3 linked regions of the Coturnix japonica genome follow. The protein of the gene in region 1 binds, or shares a complex with, the protein of each later gene. Links are inferred from orthologs where the notes say so. Each region holds a gene or a part of one and is shown on either strand. Other genes may lie near its edges. The genes, in order: NFS1, LYRM4 and ISCU.

Region 1 (6,542 bases):
GTGCATGCTGCTATTACTTAAACTGTAGTGGTTTGTTTTCAGCCTGGTAAGGGCTGACTTTCAGTGGGTCGGGCAGTGCTGCTGGGTCTTCTTCAGTGCTTATAAGTTGTGAGCTGGCTTCACCGAAGGAAGAAATGGTGTCTTGTAATGGTGGTAGCGTTAGGATGAGCAGTTCTTTGAGGGTCTTCCAAAGGGTATGAAGCAGCTTTTATGCTGCAGTGGTTGAAATACTTCAGATTTGTGGGGTTAAGTTTAGGTCCAAGTGTTAATTGTAACATGGAAATAAAAATGTAAGTGGAAAGTTTAAAGTCAGTGATTTTTGGTTATCTTCTACTCCCAGTGGCTTCTTCCCACTCATCCCTCTTTCTACATCTCTGCAGTATGGGGTTTAAAATCCAGCTATGGGTTTTGTGGCTGACTCCCAGTCACTGTTGCAGTCCATGTAGTTTGTGACACAGGATGTACAGAGGGAGAAGTCACCTTTGCCGTATTCTCTATGGTATTCAAAAACAAAAGTCCAAAGGCTGAGCCTCCCCCTGTGGGACTTGTGGCTGGCCTGCTAATCCAGGGGAAGGAGTTCTACAGCGTTGAGGTGGAAATCAGTGTGGGCACCTCAATGAATGAAACATCTGTGCACAAAAGGAGCAGAGGGCTGAACTTCATCTCCTCAGGGGTTGTCAGAAGTTTGGGCAGTACAGAGCCCTCCAGTGATGAAGTGTTCTGGGAGAAACTGAGCTCCTCCAGTGTCAGGAGCTCTGGGAGTGCAGCTGTAGAGCTGTATGGATGGTGGAGGGGAGCTTTCTGGAAAGCACTGTGCTTCTATCTGTGTTCAACACGTTTTTCTCCATTGAGGTGTCCAAGTACATGTTTGCTGGGGTAACAAATGCTTCCCAATCTCGGAGTCCCTTTGCATAATTGCAGAACTGTGGATGTGTGCTGCATGCATCCAGCTGTCTCCTTGTTGTCCAGGGGTTGGTGCCATCTATGTTCGCCGGCGGCCACGTGTGCGGCTGGAACCGCTGCAGAGCGGGGGAGGCCAGGAGAGAGGGCTGCGATCGGGGACTGTGCCCACACCGCTGGCTGTGGGCCTGGGGGCTGCGTGTGAGGTGGCACAGGAAGAGATGGAGGTACGTGGGAGAGCACGTCTGACCCGGGTGCCAGAAATTGGTGGTAGGTGGTGGGTTGTTGTTTTGTTCTTGATCAGAACGTTCTGTTTGCTGGTTCTGCTGTATGTGCTGCTAGTGGGACACATGAGTGGAGGTGCTTCCTATGAGGCAGGCAGGGATCCTATGGTTACTGAAGCCTTGTTGGAAGCTGAAGAGCCCTCGTATGGTCAGTGCTGCAGGAGCCTCACATCTGGAGTCTTTTCCTGCTCTGTCAGAATTCTGGCGTTTAAAAAGAAAACATATTAGAAAGGTTGTTTCCTTTTAAAGGTTTTTTTGGAGAATGTGACCAGGTTATTGTAAGCAAGGATGAATCAGATGTGTGTGTCTGTCCATTTCTGAGCACTGGAGCTGATACCTGACTGCTTTTTTAGGGCAAGTGACATCGTTTTTAGTCTAGAATGAGACTCAGCTCATGGGCAGCTCTCATTGTGGAGGTTACATGTTATAAAGTCACGTGATGGTTGAGTTCACAACTCTGCCATCATGTGGTGACTCATCGTGAGTCCATGTTTTATGGAATACACTTTGAAAGCTCCTAGGCAAGCAAGGGACGCTTCTACCATAAAGCTGCCCTTGGTTGTGTTGCAAGACAAGTCATTTAATGTCGTGTGCCTGGCTTGTATTGAAGCACAAAAACTTGGCACTTCTCTGAGAGCTGTTTGTAGATGGATTTTTCTGAATTATTTGTAACGTTTTGAAGGTTGAAATAGCCTTCACAAAAACCCGGCAGTTCTCTTTTTTAAGTGTTGGTAGAATTAAGAGTGTTAAAGTTCCCTTTTTAAGGTTCAGATGTCATATAACCACACCCATATACTTCAGTCCATGTACAGCTGGTGGCACTGGGTGGTTCAGTGAGCTCAGACTTGCGCTGTTGCTTTCTTTGATCTCTTTCTTGGTTTCTTTGCCAGTATGACCATAAGCGAATCTCACAACTGGCAGAACGGCTTGTTACGAAAATAATGAGCGAAGTTCCTGATGTGGTTATGAATGGAGACAGAGAGCATCGTTATCCAGGTAGTGCTGGAAGAATCCTGACCCTGCTAGAAACATTTTTGTGTATTTTGTGGTATTGATGGTCATGGCTGAGTGATGCGCTGTAGTTAACCGTGGTGTGAGTGCTGCCATGTGGCGTGGGGTTTCTTGTGCATTTCATTTGATGGGAGTTCTTCTTTCTATTTCATTTATTTTTTGTAGGATGTGTCAATTTATCTTTTGCGTATGTGGAAGGGGAGAGTCTTCTCATGGCCCTGAAAGATGTGGCTCTGTCTTCAGGAAGGTAGGTGGGATGTGTGGGAAGGGGAGCAGCATATTTTGGAGAGAAAATAACGTCTGCTAATAGACTTACAAAGTAAGGAGGGATCTGCTCTGTGCCCGGTGTTTGCTGGGTTGGTTGGTGAGTCAGCCTGGCATTGGCTGCATTCTGGGGTGGTGTTTATGTGAAGCAACACGTTTCTACTGAAGGTCAAATTTACTCATCCTGAAAGCAAAAAAATTAGAAATTCCCACCTGCCAGCTTTGCAGACTCGTTTTGTGTTGTCTGGGTAGACTTAAATCGTAACTGGTTGTGACATTCATTCTAAAGGCTGCCACCATTGGGGCTTCTGTCCTTCAGCAGCATTTCACACATGTGGCAGATCATGACGAGTATCCACTGCGGCTGGACCGATATTGGAATTTACCTTAGTTAATAGAGTCTGTATTTAATGTAAAAGCAGAAAGGAAACTCATTGCACTCTTAGAGAGCTGTATTGACTCTACAGGAGCAACATTTCTGCTATGAACACCAGCTTCGTGCTTACAATGAAGTTAATGAAGTGCCTTCCTTTTCTCACCTCTGAGAACAAAATCAGAAGTGCGTGTCTTAATTTGAAATATGTTGGTATTATGAACAAGGAGAACAAGTCTTCACATGCACTGGCCTTTGCAGTCTCCTTTAACATGAAGATCTGTTCTGAGTCTCTGCTTCATGCACTTGTTTTAAGCAGCACTATGGTTTGTGCTGCAAGTTGCTGCCTGTTCAAATTGAGTAACACCACGTAGCCAGTTTTGCCTCCTGCTCGAGGACGGAGGTTCTGTGTCCTCTACCATTCCTGGGCCATCTCGCTGCAGATTCCTCTGTGCCTGTTCTTTATTACTTCGTAATGCAGCCAGGCAGCAACTTGTGAAATCTTTCTCTCTCTTTTTAATGTTCCTGTTGATGGGTTGCTTTCCCTGGGTAGTTCTGCCTTGGCTCTTTTACCTTCTATACACAGCTTCTACTTCAACTGCCTCTTGGGCTGCAGTACTGCTGCTTCTGTTTGGTACTGTATTAATACATAGTGTTATCTATGCATTCTCTTCTTTACTCCTGCTCCTGACTTACCCTTCGTTTCCATGTCATATCTGCTCCTGTCATTCTTTAGGAGCAGAGCTACTACTCCCCTTGCTCCTCTCTCCTTGTGTTCACTAGTTATTTCCAAGTGGGTGAGGAACCTTATTGTAAAGGTTAATAATATTAGATGTGTAAGTGACATGTTCTGTGTTGGAGATCGTGAAGTGTAGCATCTGCATGTGAATTTAAGTGTGAGATTGGCCTTTCTTCCCTTTCCCTTTCCCTAGTGCTTGCACATCAGCTTCTCTGGAGCCTTCATATGTTTTGCGGGCAATTGGAGCAGATGAAGATTTGGCTCATTCCTCTATCAGGTGTGTGGAGTGATTTTCCTGTTGCTTCCAGATATGTTTCTTTTCTGCTGAAAATTCATGGTGAGTTTGTTTCACTTGTCCATATGCACACCGTTCCAGTTAGTAATGCTCTTCCTTTGTTTTAGATTTGGCATTGGTCGTTTCACTACCGAGGAAGAAATAGATTATACAGTTCAGAAATGCATACAGCACGTTAAGAGGCTGAGGGAAATGAGGTGAGCCATCTTTTTGTGGAATCTGGAGACTTCTTAGGTATGGTAATCATTTGTGGAACTGGATTTAATTGAAAGAAGGTGTCTGCTTTAAAAACCTGCTCGTATCTCTGCATGCAAAGAAGTGTTGCCAGAGTGTGTGGTGGGCTTGATCTTAACTGTAGTGAAAAATGTTTAAGCAAACAAACCTGTCAACAAGCCATTTCCCAGAGCCTATCCATATGAGGAAGTAATGTGAGTAGAGCAAGCATGGAGAATGGCAACTCAGAGTTTATAAGCCAGGTATAGTATTACTGCATGTATGTATACACTTCATTTCCTTCTGGGGAAACTGAAGGATCTCTGACTTATCTGGGCAGTGTGAATTGTGAGGGCTCAGCCTCTAAGAAATGTGCACTTCGTGCCTAAAGTGGGAGCAGGAGATGAGCACCTGCCTTCTCCCGTTTGTGTTTTGTGTGAGTACAACACTGGAGATTTGTTGTGTGAAGTTCACTGACCTCCAGCAGGGCAGGGCAGATGGATACGCCTGAATTTGTCATGTAGTTGGTGATGTCGCCTGTTTGGTTATTGTTGCTGATGTTGTTCTTTGCATTTTAGATAGCACTCATTTTTTTTTTCTTTCTTCTTTACAGTCCTCTTTGGGAAATGGTGCAGGATGGAATTGACCTCAAAAGCATTAAATGGAGTCAGCACTGAGAAAACAAGCTCTCTCCGTGGACTAGACTGAAGTGGATTAAGATGTATTTTCTGTACATTCCCGAACAAAAACATGCAGCACATTTCAGCTTGTTATCATTTGCAATTTAAATGGGAAGCTCCCTTTTCTAATAATAGCCTAAGAAGCCAAAAATTGAACTAGTCTGTATGCTGGGGAAAGGCAGGATGACATAACAGCCTTTGCATTGATATTCATACGCTGCAATTTATGCTGAGATGTGCTCTCTTTGAAAATGTATTTTGCAATGTAAAAAACAAAACTGAGGAGTCCTGGTAAGAAATAGCTCGTTCTCAGCATAAAACATCCTGTGTAGCTGTTCTGTTTGCAGCACAGAGCTGTAGCTGGGCTGCAGGTTCTCCTAGAGGCAGCCTTGCAGCTGCAGGTGCTTTTGTGCTGCTAAAATGTCTCAAGAGAATTTTTTGTGTAGGAAGAAGTTTGGCATTTCTAGAGGAAAAGGATGCCTCACTGTGGCTACGTGCCTTCACAGTTAAGTTGTATGTGGAGTTATGAACTCTTTTTTTTCCCCCTAAAATTTAATACTTTTTGCTCTTTGTGTGTGTGTGTTTATGTGCTGCTTGTACAGACCGGTGTGCATTTGTACCAAACACTGTCTGGTGTTACGGAATTTAGGATACCTTTATAATGCACTTTGCTGTCCCCTCTGTTTGTTTTTTTCTACTCAGTGAAGAAAGAAAACTTGAATGACTGGGAGAGGAGGAACAGAACACGCCGGCTTCAGTTGCAGTACCAGTTTAGTTGGTACTCCATTGGTGGAGGGGGGGAAGCACATAATGTACAAGGTCTTCTGGTTTTGTTCTAGTTTTGCCTTTTTTTCCCCTTGTAGTGAGTCCTTTGCTGTTACTGTAGTCTTTGCCTATGGCAATTGGCTTCTGTCACTTCTGGGAGTCTTGCTCAGTGGGCAAACCTGGCTGTTCTGTCAGTAGGTGGGAACATGTGGCTCTGGAGTTGTTTCTTTGTGTGCCGGAGCTAACTTGTCCTGTTAGAGGCTTCCATGGGAATCCATTCCCTGCGAATGCTGGGGAAAAGTGTCTGTTAAAATGGGTTTGATTAGATGAATTTGTATCAGAATTTCTCCTTTCGTACCTTTGGTGGTCTTTCCAGTAGGAAATTTTACCCTGTATTACGAAGTGCCTTTGTAACAGTTGCATAAGCAGACAGCTCTTAAATTATTTTCTTGGTTAATGGATGCTGAATTTAGTATACATTATAGACAGCATGTCATCAGTTCTGAGTAGTATCTACCTCGAGGATGCAGCACTGTATGGAAAAGGTGAAGCTAAGCCTCACAGAGCGGACTGAATTATAGAATTGTTAATTTTTCTGTTAAGGACGGATTTGGTTGTAATGCAAAGCTAATCCTGAATGGTTCTATTTGAAATTACTAGCCTTAGCAGGTTTGATATTGTACGACTGATCGGCACCTTATGTTTCATCACCATGTTTTAAAGCTCTCATATGCGTAACTACGTTTTAGAGGCATTGTTTGTATTATATTTTATTTTTGGGTCATGTGTGGTTTCTGGGTTAAGCATGTGCTAAGAATTCCCCTGCATGTTTTAGGACTTTATGTTTGTGAATGTGTCATTTGTGTTTCATGGATGACAAAAATATAGATAAGGCTTAAACGTGGCTACTATGAGTCTTTGTAGGTAATTATAAAGTTGAAGTAAATCAAGAAAAAAATGTAGAGCACTACTTTTGCGGATCCACTTCTCCGGCTCAGCTGTTGGGCACGATCGTTGA
Region 2 (6,642 bases), on another chromosome or scaffold:
GGAATAGCTGCCCAGGGAGGTGGTGCAGTCGCCATGCCTGGCAGTGTTCAAGATGCGTCTGGATGAGGAGCTACAAGGTATGGTTTAGTGGCTTGTGGTAGCAACGGTAATGGGAAGATGGTTGGACTGGATGAACTTGTAGGTCTCTGCTCTAAAGTGGTTCTTCCTTTCTGAAGTCAAATAAAGGTTACAACATGAAGGGGAGACAAGAGAAGACTCTCTTTTCTTTGGTGTGTTTCCTTTACATTTGATAGTACACTATTGCTTATTTTAAACGTAAATTTTAAACATTATTATGCTTATTTTATCATATAACCATTATATAACATTATTATGCTTATTTTAAACATGATAAGACAGGGCAAGTTTAGGTTGGATACTAGGAAGAACTTCGTTATAGAAAGGGTAGTTAGGTACTGGAATAGGCTCCCCAGGGAGGTGGTTGAATCTCCATCCTCGGATGTGTTTAAGAGCCATTTGGATGTGGTGCTCAGGGATATGATTTAGTGTAGGGTTGTTAGAGTTAGGGTACTATGGTTAGGCTGTGGTTGGACTTGATGATCTTCAAGGTCTTTTCCAACCTGGGTAATTCTATGATAAAAAGTTTTTATACTTCTTAAAAAAAATGGTCATAAAATAAATAAATAAACAAATAAAGAATCTCAATCACTGTCAAGGACATTCAGAAACAGGATTAACACCCTAAGCCATTTCTAAATCACCTATAATTACCTTACAAATATTAAACCAAGTGCTCTTGCAACCAAAATTTACCTAATACCTTTTGCTTTCTTCCTAATTACACTCCCACATCTTCCATAGCTGATGGCTGTACTATCAATATTCTACTTAATGAAAATAATAAAGCTTACTCTAAGATTAGATAGAGCCATTGCCACGCTCACCTACAGAATACCTTCATATAATTTCTCTGAACTCTCAAAGCTAGGTTTCGTTTTGCACATGACATCTTTTAAGCTGCCTGAAACCCATGACCAAAACAAAGGATAGGGTTGCTGAAATCTATGGATTAAAACTGTTCTGCTTTAACACATATTAAGCACCCCAACTGCTGAAAACTACAAGGATGGGGGAGCACTGGTAATACATGTAGATTCTACTATTGGCATGGCAGACTGGGCTAGCAACATAGCTTGGGCTACAAGGATTCAGTCCTCCACCCAGCGTTCTTCAGGTTCTTTAAATACAGGGTTTTTTGAACCATGCATTCAGCAAAGTTTTCTGTTTGTGTTTCCAGAAGGCCAAAAGCTGGCGTAAAAGACACTGTAAAAGGAAGGCCTTGACAACATGACGCTCATTGTGATGTCTCCATTGCTTCTATTTTCCTAAAAAAAATAATAAAATAAAATAAAAAAGCATTTCCTGTATCATTTCTAGTTTGGATTTGGACAAAAAGAAAACCCAAGAAATCTGGAATGTGTGGAAAATGTCAGTTTCCAGAAGCCTAAAAGGGCTTCTCTAATATAAAGACCACATGAGCATTCATGCAAAATATTTGAGACACATCAGTGATATTAATTATACTAGGAACTACTTTAGTTTCTTTATTATGAAATAATTGCATCACATGTACAACTGACACAAATAAAATACCCATGCATACATATACAATGAGTTTAATTAGCAGCAATTGAAATACTTTTAGAATTTAGAATTGAAATACACACTTAGAATAAATATAAACATATCCTATTTACAAAATGTGCCATGAAGTAAGAATATAAAGAATTCATATTATAATATTGTCAACACAGGTAGGGCAACATATATGTTAAGTTACAAGGCCAAATTTCTTCTGTAGTGGCAAAACTTTCATCAGAAGGGGATGCTATGTGTTCCCAGCAGGAACAGTACCAGGATGCCTCAGGCATAGAAAACATTAGAGGTGATTATGTAGAATTTGAGTCTCAGCCTTGCTGCAGAGAATAAAATCCAAATAAACAGGCAGAGCCTATTTAAAACTGTTCAGGTACCTGTTGTTCTCTGGGACTGTGTAATACCAAGGCAGTGTGTATATAGGCTGCTGCCTGGGGACTGCCCTCTCCAAGGCCTGTTCTAACACACGTGGGCCTGTGCATTAAATTAACAATAGCAGCACTATGGCCATTTCTCACAGCTGTAGAGGAAGTTAGGAATATGATAATGGGGGTTTCCTCTTGCAAATATAAGTGCTGAGGCAGGAAAGAACTTGTTAATATCCCTCAGAAGTTCTCACTTCTTAATTCAAACAGCATCTGAGCTGAGTAAAACAAGTATGGTTCTAATAACAGAATTCAACTCCAAATGGGGTGTTGAAGGGAAGAACGATTCACAGAGCACAGAATAACAGAAGGGCTGATGCTGGCAGGACCCTGTGGTCCATCTGACCCAATCCCAGCTGCAGCAGGGTGCCCAGAGCAGGGGAATCGGGCTCCTTACTCAGGCAGCTTCCAAGGAGGAGATTAACAGCCTCTGGGCAGCCTGTGCAAGTGCTCGTCAGCACAAAACACAGAAGTGCTGCCTGGTGCTCACAGCACCGGGCAGCAGCAGGCAAAGCCCATGGTGCATTCAGCCTCTATGACTGAAAACGTGCTTAGAAAATACAGATCAACGACCCAACGTTATTCACCTGCTGCTTACTTCCAGGCCCGACCCCAACCCCAACCTTACACCGTTCAACTTCGCACAGCATTCACCCCTCTCCCTCCGCGTTATTTACACTCAACGCCTGCTTCCTCCACGCACCTTTAAGGCCTCAAACTCACACAACAACGCAAAAGCCGCACGTACAACCGAGATCCACGCTGCACCAGCACAAAAACACCCCACCGCCCAACTCGGGGCCGCCTCACCGGGCCTAGGCCGTCGGCATCTTCCCCACCCAGCAGCATAGGCCAGCCCTAAGGCTCAAGGCTTAACTCCTCGCAGGCCAGACCGCCACTCACCGCGTCGTGTCGCCGGGCGCCGCGCATTGAAGGCCGGGTTCAGGAGGCGGCTCCGGGCGCCGCGGGCGGGGAAAAGGGCCCGGGCGGGAGGAGCCGCTTTGAGCCGGCAACATGGCAGCGTCCAGCCGGGCCCAGGTGCTGCGGCTGTACCGTGCTCTGCTGAGAGAGAGCCAGCGATTCAGCGGCTACAATTACAGGTGCTGCTCCTCGTGGAGGTCGGGAAGGGGGAATAACGGGGAGTCTCGGGGTGAGGAGGGTTCAGGACGTTTTCTCTTCGCTCCCTGTGCACGTTTGTAGCTGGAGGACATGGGTGGCTCGGGGCACCTTGCGAAGGGGCAAGCGAAGGGCTGAAGCTGACTGCAGGGAGCTGCTCTGTCGGCTGTCTGAATGCTGCGGGCTGAGCCTGTGCTGGAGGAGTTCCTGGCTCACACGATGCAGTTTGGGTGCAGTGTGAGGGAGCAGGGCTGCATATGGTGCCGTGTAGCATGGCTGCTTGACTGACTGTCTGCTCTGGACAGTGCTTTTAGTAAAGGGCAGCCGGCTGCTGCAGGCACAGGCCTAGCTGTGTGCGGGTCCCTGCTGCCTTGCCCCCTGGCAAGGCTGCTTACCACTCTGTGGTACCACGGAGGCACGTGAGATACCTTCGCTGTGAATCATCTCCAGGCCTGCAAGAACTGCTGAGCTGGAAACAGAAGGTTTTGAACTGGCATAACCACAGCAAGTTCTGTGACCCTTAAGGAATATGTGTTATTTCCTGTGTCAGAGTGCCCTGACAGGAAGCCTGAAGTGCTGGAACTCCTAAGCCCTTATTGCTAACTCCTCAAGTTCCCCTCTTTCTGCCTTAGCTCTCCTACTATTGAGCCTTCTTCCTGCCCCAAGTGCTTAGTATTATGTTGAGCAGCAAGGATGTCTGAATGCAACAGGGATGGCATGAGGCTGTGAGTGGTGGTGCGCAGCTCCTAATCTGAATTACATTATTTCCAGCTGGGGTTATCAGTGCAGAAGTTGTGGATTTAAGGAACTATTAGGTTCTCTCCTCTTCTGTAAGCTATACCCAGAGCTTAGGTTCTCCCTACAGAGAGATATGTGTCTGAGGGGTCTAAACCATGTGGATGTTTTGGCTTATGGTTAAAAACTGGCCATCATACAGCATCAGGTGGACTAGTGAGTGTTTTTATGCTAACAAATTTTGCAGCTTGGAAATCAGAAGGTACATGTTTACCTTGGGTATTAGCTATTTCTTGGTGCTGTGTTGGGGTGCATGCTTTCACTTTCCTTAAGAAAAGATCTCAGTTTTATATATAGACCTTTCCTTAGATACTATAAAACCAGTGAACGTGTAAAATCATAGAATATCCTGAGTTGGAAGGAACCTACAAGCATTATTCAGTCCTGCTTCTCATAGGACCACCTGAAATTCAAACCCTGTGTTTGAGAGCATTGTCCAAATGCTCCTTGAGCTCTGGCAGCTTGGGTCTGTGCCCACTGCCCTCTGGTGCAGACCCTGTCCCTGACCCCCAGCTGCCCCTCCCCTGGCACAACTCCATGCTGTTCCCTCGGGCCCCATTGCTGTCACACAGAGCAGAGCTCAATGCTACCCCTCTGCTCCCTGTGAGGAGCTGCTGTCACCATGAGGCCTCAGCTCCTCTGCTGTGGGCTGATCAAACCCAGGGATCCCAGCTGCTCCACCTACATCTTGCCCTGTGGACTCTTATCCACCTTTGTAGCCCTCCTTTGGATGCTCTTTTAATAGTTAAGGGAGAGCCCAGTCTGGGAGCTGCAGCCCAGGGCTGAGTACTGGGTAGGCAGAGAGAGCCCAGGGACAGTTGGGACAAGTGCCTGCTTCTCGCCCAGGTGCTTTTGCTTAGAGGTCATTTACTACTTTATACCAAAAGTATGCCTCTCTAAGAGAGTTTATGAACACCAAATGCAATAGCAGTTTCTAGCAAGAAGCAGTAGGCAGCTGTTACACCTAGAGATCTGCCACGAACACAACAGCCATCCTGCATTGCTGTTTCTTTACACTCCATGCACCGCTAACATGGGCACCGTGTGAGCTGCTTCCCTGCCCTGATAAGCAGTTCTCCTGCGTCCTTGTGGCTGCTGTAATGTGATATTAAATTTCTTCCAGGGCATGGCAGTGACTTTGTATACAACTAGTTTGTTGTGAAGAAATAAGATAAATCATAGTGATTCATGTTTGCAGCTGCAGAAATTCAGAATGCTGTTGCAAGCAGTGCATAAGTGTGCATCTGAAGGATGGTCCGCTGGTCGTTGTCTCCATGTTTGCTTTCTGTGCTTTTTCTCTTAAGTGTATGGGTAGATTGTGATGTAAAATTGAGTATTTTTGCTCTGTAAGCATTCTAGTAATTCATGTAATACATTTTATTCTGCCGCCCAGCAGAACTTTTAGTGCTGTAACTGTGAAGAACAGCGTTAAAACCTTTAAAAAACAGAGGTCACCGCTGACTGTCTGAGAGTAACAGCACACAGGGTTGTCTCTGGAGTCCTGCACTAAGTGTTAAGGAGACTTCTGCAGCCCAGGTGTGCTGCCAGATTTTAACATCAGGGGAGAACTTAGCAGACAGTAAGTAATTTCATGTCTGCCATTCTGCTCTATCAACCTTACAGACAATCTGAAGAAAGGAACTTGATTTGTACTCCTGGAAAATCAATATATGAAGAGGAAAGGTGTCAAGTTTTCAGTCAAGAAAGGTAGTTCGTAATGAGGGTATCCTTTTTTTGGTATGTTTGACAAAAAGGAGATCCTCTGATAGTTTGTAGTGTGATAGGTTACGATCTCAGGAGGAGGTGGCCTCTGCTATTTAAATGACAAATGAAATTCTATTTAGATTTGTTTTAAAATGCTTTTGTTCGGCATTAAATATATATATATACAACTCGTGAAATGTGTTTTTAGTGGGGATGCTAAGTCATGGCTTGAAGCAGTGACTGAGCACCTGGTGGGAAGGCAGGGCCAACCCAGGGGAGCTCAGGTATGAGCTAATCCTTCCCAGATCTCATTTAAGGGTTGGCAGTGGAAGTAAGGATTTTTTGCTAGAGATCCCTGTTTACCTGAGGCCTTCCAAAAGTAGTCGGATTCTTTCCTTTATTTCTGTGTCTAGAGCTTTTGCATTTGAGCAGGTCCCCACTTGCTGTGGCCTAGGACTTTGCTGCTCTGCTGTCATTGCTGCTGTTTCCATCATGTAACAGTGTTACAACTGTTAAAACAACTGATTGCAAATAAGGATCAATATGGTTGGATGGTTTGTTTGTTCCTATTTTGAATGAAAACACAGTAAGTAAGCACTCAGGGCTTTTACTATGTAGGGCAGAGCATGATCTTAAAATGCTTTTAGATATTAGAGCTGCACTTCTGAAACATGAGTTGGATTTCTGTGGTTTTGCAGTAGACTCCATATATAAATTAAATGTAAACAGTGTTTTTTTAATTTCTTTTAGTTAGTGACAGTGAGCTAATAAGCCCATAAATCCCATTGGATAGGAAAAAAATCTCTTGTTGTCAGCACTGTTGAGATTGGCATGGCCATCTAGGTGTTCTGTATCTAAAGGTCTAGTAACTCTTAGTGACCTACAGTAAGTGCGTGTGTGTATATGTGTGTGTGGGTATATATATGTATGTGTGTGTATACATATATATATACATATACATATATATATACATATACATGTATAT
Region 3 (6,642 bases), on another chromosome or scaffold:
TCCTATGCCTCCCCCCGACCCCATGCAGCCATGGGAGGCCATTTTTGAGCCGCGCTTTGGGCTGATGCGGTGCTCAGTGCAGCCAAACCCATTGCTTGTGCTTTCTCCATGGGTGCTTTCCTTGGATTCCCCCCAAAAATAAAGAGAAAAGCCCAGGCTGGGTCTCCCCACCGTCCTTGCACAGCTTTCTCGCAGATGTTATTTTCACTCATTATTGCAACCTGGCCCACACCCAGGCAATAGGGCATGGAGGAAACATGACCCATGACTTCATGACTGCTGGTAGTACAGACCTTCTATGGGGGCCCGGGGACATTGCAGACCCCTTGGATTGATGAGGGGGTCAGCTGCTCCCATCCTCCTTTTCCAACCCCCAACCCTGCAGTGCCTGGTGGAGATTGGAGGCATTCTAGATGTGTTTTGGTGAGAAAAAGAAAGGGAAAACCTTAGCCAACCTTAGCAGGAGGGAAGAGGATGCAGCAACAATGACCCCGTCCTTTTGTTTGCAAGCCCTGAATGTCACAGACCCCTCAGAAAGCACAGCAAATGGATCTCAGAAAGGAGCTGGACTTTTGCCTTATTTTCTTAACCCCCTTTGCTATGAATAAAAACATCTACTATGCACATTTCTTCCTCTCATGTGTGTTTCTGGAGCTGTCAGGGTAGGCAAACCGTGGGCTCAGTGCCATCCTTCCCTGGCAGAGCTTGAGGACATGAGGATGGGCAGGGGAGTAATGCTCCCTACAGCTGTGTGCTTGCTGCTGGTGACGCTCTCAGAGCCAGGGGACACTGTTATCACTTGCACAATCTGCATGCAATTCTCAGAAACCCTTATCTGGTGTCAGCCAGCACTGTGAGTGGGGAGGGCTCTGGCCTGAGATCCTCTTTGGGGAGATGCACACAGGTTTGTTTCCTGATCTCACACTGGTTTGCTTTGAGAACTCAGACACGTGCTTTGTCCTGCAGCAGGGCGTGCTAATAGAAGGCAAGTGTCTGATGTACCTGGAAGGCAGCACAACCCTGTATCCTCATGTATGGGAGTTGTTAGGCCATGGGCTGAATCATTGAGCAGCTGGTGAAGGGGTGTAGTCAGCCCTGGGAGCACAGGTGGAAGCAATTCACCTGGGTCCACCCCTCCTTAACCTCATTTAAGGGCTGGCAGCCACAAAGGAAGCATCTCTACCTGGAGATTGGCTCCTTTGTCACATTTGATGAGCCCTGATCCTTGGAAATGGGGTGAGCAATTCTTTCTTTATTACTGGATTGTGACCACTACCTTTCTTGGGTTTAAAGCAACTGTATCTGCTGTCATCTATCCTTACACCTCACATCCTTTTACCAATGTCGCTCTATGCTTTTAATATATCCCCATTACTCCAGCTGACAGCATTTTGCAGGGAAACCAAAGGATTCCCCCAAACAGGAGTGACAACAACTTAAAATAATAACTCAAAAAATAATTACATTGCAGACAGAAACCAGAACGAGCCACTTATTTTTACTGAATGTTGTTTTTAATGCAGCTGTGCAACATCATAGGTATGAAAACTGGAAAGGAAGATAGGGTGGGGCGTGGGGTGAGGATGTTATAAGAGCAAGGGAGGTTTTTAAGTGCATTTTCTTTTGATTTGAAGATCTGTGGCAACACTCCCTTGGAAAACAGCCATCGCTGTGAGGCACAGGGGAGCACAGTGGTCTAAAGAACAGAGGGTAAGCCATGCTGTGTGGCCATAAAACGCCTGTTTTGAACTGACTCTGTGCCCCACGCTCCCAAGGAGCCCAGCTCATGTGGTGGGTGGGCAAATCCTCCACTTGGTGAGTGCTACCCCTGTGCTCTCTTCATAACTCACTCCTCCAGCGAAGCAGTTTGAGCAGCTTTAGCTGTGCACACAGAGCTGCTCGGGGGAGGTATCTGCCAGGCTGTGTTTTTGAGGTTTCTTTCCACAAATGAAGAGAATCCAGCCCTAAAACTACCAAAGGCAACAACAGAAGCTATCAGAAATAGCATCCAAAATCAGCTCCAGCAGCAGGTAAGGATCCCCTTCTGCCCCTGGCTTAGTACCAAGAGCACTGGCTGCTCTCTCTGCCCTGGAAGGGATGGGGGAAGTTCAGAAGACACCCCCAGAGGGCACAGGCTGACTCCTGCTCTTCCAGGGAGGTTCCCCTCAGTATTACATCCCAGTTAAGCTATTTGCATTCTGGGTTTGAATCCTCAGCGTGTGTTTAATCTCCCTTAACAGTATTTGGCAAACTAAAGGGTTGAATGCTTTTAAAAGATGCTCCAACATTAACCCTCCTGCTATTGGAGGATGTGAACACAAACATGTCCTGCTAACGCTGCTGGCTCTGAGCTTCCTGGCAACCAACTGCAGCTGCTGTTATTTGCTCACCTCCCACAGTCAGTGCCCTCTAGTGCCTGGTGAAGCATCCCAGCTCCTCCCAGAGAGCAGCGTGACGCAGGGGATAGACAGCATGTGAGAGGTCACAGATTGTGAAACCAAACTCCAACACAGCTGCAGCCAAACCACATGAGATTTATATATACTGTATTGATTGACAAAGTGACCCACATAAAGACCAAGGCAACCAAGTTTCCCACCAAACTCTTTGTAAAACATTAGGCAAAACTATACAGAAGAAAAAAAGTGCAGCCCTTCCAATGCTGGAACAGGAGGATTCTTTCTCTCTTGAGAAGCTACCGGGGGGTTGCCCTGAAGCAGAGCAGCCCTTCACTCTCACCATTTCAAAACCAATCCTGACAGGACACAGGCTGCTGAAATACCCACGTTCCAGTCATTTAAGCACTACCAGGGTGGCTGTACACACATGACCAGTGACACGTTGTGCGTTGAGTTGTGCGTATCTTACAGCTTCTTGAGTAGTGCACAGGATTCTATTAACAGCTAGAATAATTGCACTGCAAATTGAACTGGAATGAGGACAACCTCTACAGTCTGTTTAGGAATTAGTCTGCTTTCTGCTCTGACTCTCCTTTCTTTGGATCCTGTTTCAGTTTGTAGTCAGCCAAGGCAGCCTTGATTGCATCCTCAGCCAGCACTAGGGGAGAAAAAGAGCACAAAACAATGTCATTTACAAGCACTTTAAATAACAGTGACAAGTCACTTAGAACAAAAGATGCAGTACAAGCAGAAGCAGCCAGCAATAACCACCACTGTGGGTCAGCCTTAGCTGCTATGTGTGCAAAGCTTTATTTGGAGAACGTACAAAAGCATCTGTGTTCTCAAATAACAACGTGTTTGATGCTTTACTTACTAGAGCAATGCAGTTTGACCGGAGGAAGGCAAAGTTCTTTTGCAATGTCTGTGTTCTTGATTTTCAATGCTTCATCAATCTGAAATGTATGGGTAGGGTACAGTCATCAGTCAGGCATACACATGTACATATGATGCCCACACACCACGCAGGTATTTGATACAGGTGTGCTTCAAAGCACTGGAACCAACCAAAGTCACGCTCTGAGAAGGCAGTAAAAGCTGCTGATAGTGTTCTACCATAAGAAAGGCCTTTCAATAATACCTGTTTTATTCTGCTCCTGCCAAGCAACAAATCTGCAACCTACTACAGGGAACCTCCTTTGGCAGAGGAGCTGGACTAGGTGATACTCAGAGGTCCATTTCAACCCCTGATTCTATGAAATATAAGGAATGTCTCAAAGTGTGCAGTGCTTGTTAATAAACCAGAGCATTATTTTACTGCTGACCAACTGCAGGGACTGTTCCAGGTTTGTTCTGCTGTAATATAGAAACAACCTGCTTGTCACAATGCCAAGCACACGGAGATCAGCCAATGGAAGACATTCCACTATACAAGTGCTTTCTTTATCTATTTTCGATTGCTGTGTAGCACCCAAAGCTTCTTCACAGCTTATTGGAGACTTCCAGAAAAGGCAAATATTGCTTTAAAAGTCAGGAAAGATGAAACTGCATTCTGAGCTTCTATGTGAGTGTAACACCTGGAGAGCACCTCTCTAGACCCCTGTTTCCTTCCCTGATCCCAGCAGTGGGTGTGAATATGTACCTGCTCCCCACTGTGCCCCTTAAGCCAAGCCCTTACCGTCTTCCCTTTCACCCACTCTGTTGCCAAGGAGCTGGAAGCGATGGCAGAACCACAACCGAAGGTTTTGAAGCGAGCATCAACAATGCGGCCGTTCTCATCCACTTCCACCTGTGGGAGTTATCAGAGGGGCGCTCAGTTCCACGTAGGAACCACACACAAAGGGACAGCGATAGGACAGCGAGTTTAAGGCTGGGGGTTTATCGGATTTTAGGGCCTGCAGAGGGACTTTAAGGGACAATGAGTTTAAGGCTGGGGGTCTATTGGATTTTAGGATCTGCAGAGGGGCGTAAAGGGACAGCGAGTTTAAGGCTGGGGGTCTATTGGATTTTAGGGCCTGCAGAGGGGCTTAAAGGGGGTGTGACGGAGGAATCCTATGTCACAGCCATATGGTGGCAGACACTGATGGTTGTGTCCTTACAGGGCACCCCGTGCTCCCCTCACCTGCAGCTTCATAACGTCTCCACAGGCCGGGGCTCCCACCAGGCCCGTACCCACGTTCTTTGCGTTGCGATCGAGAGAGCCCACGTTCCGCGGGTTCTCGTAGTGATCCACCACCTGCGAGAACAACGTGTCACTAACAACCCCCAACGGGCACTATGGGCTCCCCACAGCCCTACCCGGCCCCTCTCACCTTCTTGTGGTAGCCCGCCCCCCCCACCGCCGTCGCCCCCCGCCCGGGCCGCAGCAGCGCCGCCCCCGCCGCCCTCAGCGCCGCCATCTTGAGTCTGCCCGCACCTGGCAGCGGCGCTCTGCCCCAACCCTCCCGAAGGACCCCTGGAGGCCGAGGCCCTGAGGTGTCCGTGGCGCTGCCTCTGCAGCAGACTAAATTATAAGGAGTAACGGGCCGAGCTGCTCGGCTTTTCGTGGCAGTTGGACGCGGAGAAGAGCAGAACCTTGTCGGGAGAGTTTATCGTCCTTTCTTTCACCGCTTTTGGCTGGGGGGAATGTACAATATTGAGACAGGCGCGCAGTAGCCAACCCCATCGGCTGGCTGAGAGCGGCCGGCAGCGAGGCGAGCTGCAACAAGATGGCGGCGGCGGGAGCCGAGGCGGCGGTGGAGGAGGAGAAGCGTGTGGTGGAGGGAGACCCCGAGTCGGGGGGGGATTCGGAGGATGAAGGCGACTCGGATTCATCAGGAGACGGCGAGGATGAGGAGAAGGAGAACGAGGCGGAGATCCAGCGGCTGGAGGAGCAGGTGGGGCCCGGCTGTACCGTGCTTTGGTTATGGAGATCTGGAAACGCCTCCGGGCGTGATGCCTTTTAATTCGCTTTTTATTCCTCGCTTCAGGGCGAGAGAGACTCAGGGAGCAGCCCTGGTATGTTGAAAGTGAACTCAGATGGTGGTTTCCTTAGTGATCTTGAAGGAATTAAAACGCGTTTGCTGAGGAGGGCTCACTGGGTGTTAGCGCTGTGTCTGTACTTGGGGGCTCTCGGGCCTTAGGGCTGTGAGTTCAGTCTTCTGCAGAACTTTAAAGCCCAGCTTTAGTAACAGGGATCTTCTATGAAGGGCTGCAGAGGTGGTCGGGGCCTGCAGCTTCTATTTGAGGAGCCCTGAGGCTGCCCTTGAGGCAGGAGGGAAGGCTGAGGGAGCAGCACTTGTCAGGGTAGAAATCGTGAAGATGGGGCCAGGTTCTTTTCAGCCATGCCCAGCTACACGATAAGGGGCAGTGGGCACAAACTGGAACCCAGGAAGTTCTATCTGAACGTGAGAAATAACTTCTTCGCTGTGAAGTTGACAGAGCCCTGACACAAGCTGCCCAGGGAGGTGGTGGAGTTTCTTTCTTTAGAGATGCTCAGGATCCACTGGGATGCTTTCTAATGCTACCTGCTGGGGGGAGGGTTGGACTGAGGGATCCTCAGAGGACTTTGCCTTTTCCTGTCACTTACAGTTCTGTGATTCTGTGTAACTGAGCAGGGAGGTGAATGTCTGTCTGTACTTGGCCCTGGTGAAGGCAAGGCATCTTAAGTGCTGCGTTTAATTTACTCACTACAGAAGAAAGGCATCAAGGCCCTGGAGCATGTCTGGAGTAGGGCAGCAGAGCTGTAAAGGGTTTGGAGTACGAGCTATATGGGGAGAGGTTGAGGGAGCTGGGGATCACAGAATTGTAGGATGGTTCTCCACTACTCCCTGAAAAGAGGTTGTAGCAGGGTGGGAGTTGCTCTCTTCTCCCATATAACAGCGATGGGACAAGAGGCAAAGGCCTTAAGTTATACCAGGGGAGGTTCTTGTTGAGTATTGGGAATGACTGCTTCTTCAAAAGAGCAGTCAGGAATTGAGACAAGCTGTCCAGGGAGGTGGTGGGATCACCATCCCTGGAGGTGTTCAAGAACTGCAGGGATGTGACACATAGAAAACAGTGTGTAAAGTTCTGTTCTGCTGAGTATTTGCTGACTTCTGCAAGCCTTTAAAAACTTCCTTTATTTTCTTTAAAGCTTTCCATCAATGCTTTTGACTACAATTGCCACTTGGATCTGATAAAGCTGCTCCGCCAAGAGGGAGAGCTGGTGAAGCTCAGAAGAGCTCGGCAGAAGATGAGTGAACTCTTCCCACTTACTGAAGGTACA

The links.
Region 2: the proteins of NFS1 (region 1) and LYRM4 are in contact, whole or in part, in a crystal structure (PDB 6W1D), measured with the Homo sapiens proteins. The link is inferred for Coturnix japonica from reciprocal best matches to the Homo sapiens genes NFS1 and LYRM4. Residues at the interface, in NP_066923.3 of Homo sapiens: Leu56, Arg57, Pro58, Leu59, Pro68, Leu69, Pro71, Arg72, Leu74, Asp75, Leu78, Glu314, Tyr317, Arg321, Asp372, Arg412, Phe413, Thr414, Thr415, Glu417, Glu418, Tyr421; in NP_065141.3 of Homo sapiens: Phe23, Tyr26, Asn27, Tyr28, Thr30, Tyr31, Arg34, Arg35, Asp38, Val65, Arg68, Gln69, Ile72, Thr78, Asp79, Lys80, Leu81, Ile82, Ile83, Asn85.
Region 3: the proteins of NFS1 (region 1) and ISCU are in contact, whole or in part, in a crystal structure (PDB 6W1D), measured with the Homo sapiens proteins. The link is inferred for Coturnix japonica from reciprocal best matches to the Homo sapiens genes NFS1 and ISCU. Residues at the interface, in NP_066923.3 of Homo sapiens: Tyr360, Val361, Glu362, Glu364, Ser365, Leu367, Met368, Ala369, Lys371, Glu399, Asp400, His403, Ser404, His429, Arg432, Leu433, Glu435, Met436, Ser437, Pro438, Leu439, Glu441, Met442, Trp454, Thr455; in NP_998760.1 of Homo sapiens: Tyr35, Val40, His42, Tyr43, Glu44, Val49, Gly50, Ser51, Leu63, Val64, Gly65, Ala66, Pro67, Ala68, Cys69, Gly70, Val72, Lys74, Phe90, Lys91, Thr92, Phe93, Gly94, Cys95, Gly96, Ile99, Lys135.

What each region holds. Positions count from the first base shown.
Region 1 is NC_029535.1:929,213-935,754, forward strand, and holds part of NFS1 (cysteine desulfurase, mitochondrial), read left to right. Parts: intron 1-969; coding exon 970-1,127; intron 1,128-2,074; coding exon 2,075-2,180; intron 2,181-2,360; coding exon 2,361-2,442; intron 2,443-3,764; coding exon 3,765-3,848; intron 3,849-3,973; coding exon 3,974-4,063; intron 4,064-4,692; coding exon 4,693-4,756; 3' UTR 4,757-6,542.
Region 2 is NC_029517.1:63,952,780-63,959,421, reverse strand, and holds the start of LYRM4 (LYR motif-containing protein 4), read left to right. Parts: upstream 1-3,039; 5' UTR 3,040-3,056; coding exon 3,057-3,160; intron 3,161-6,642.
Region 3 is NC_029530.1:5,667,974-5,674,615, reverse strand, and holds ISCU (iron-sulfur cluster assembly enzyme ISCU, mitochondrial), read right to left. Parts: upstream 4,808-6,642; 5' UTR 4,796-4,807; coding exon 4,709-4,795; intron 4,633-4,708; coding exon 4,519-4,632; intron 4,186-4,518; coding exon 4,075-4,185; intron 3,353-4,074; coding exon 3,274-3,352; intron 3,058-3,273; coding exon 2,966-3,057; 3' UTR 2,515-2,965; downstream 1-2,514. Other genes in the region: SART3 (squamous cell carcinoma antigen recognized by T-cells 3), read left to right, coding at 5,105-5,272, 6,511-6,637.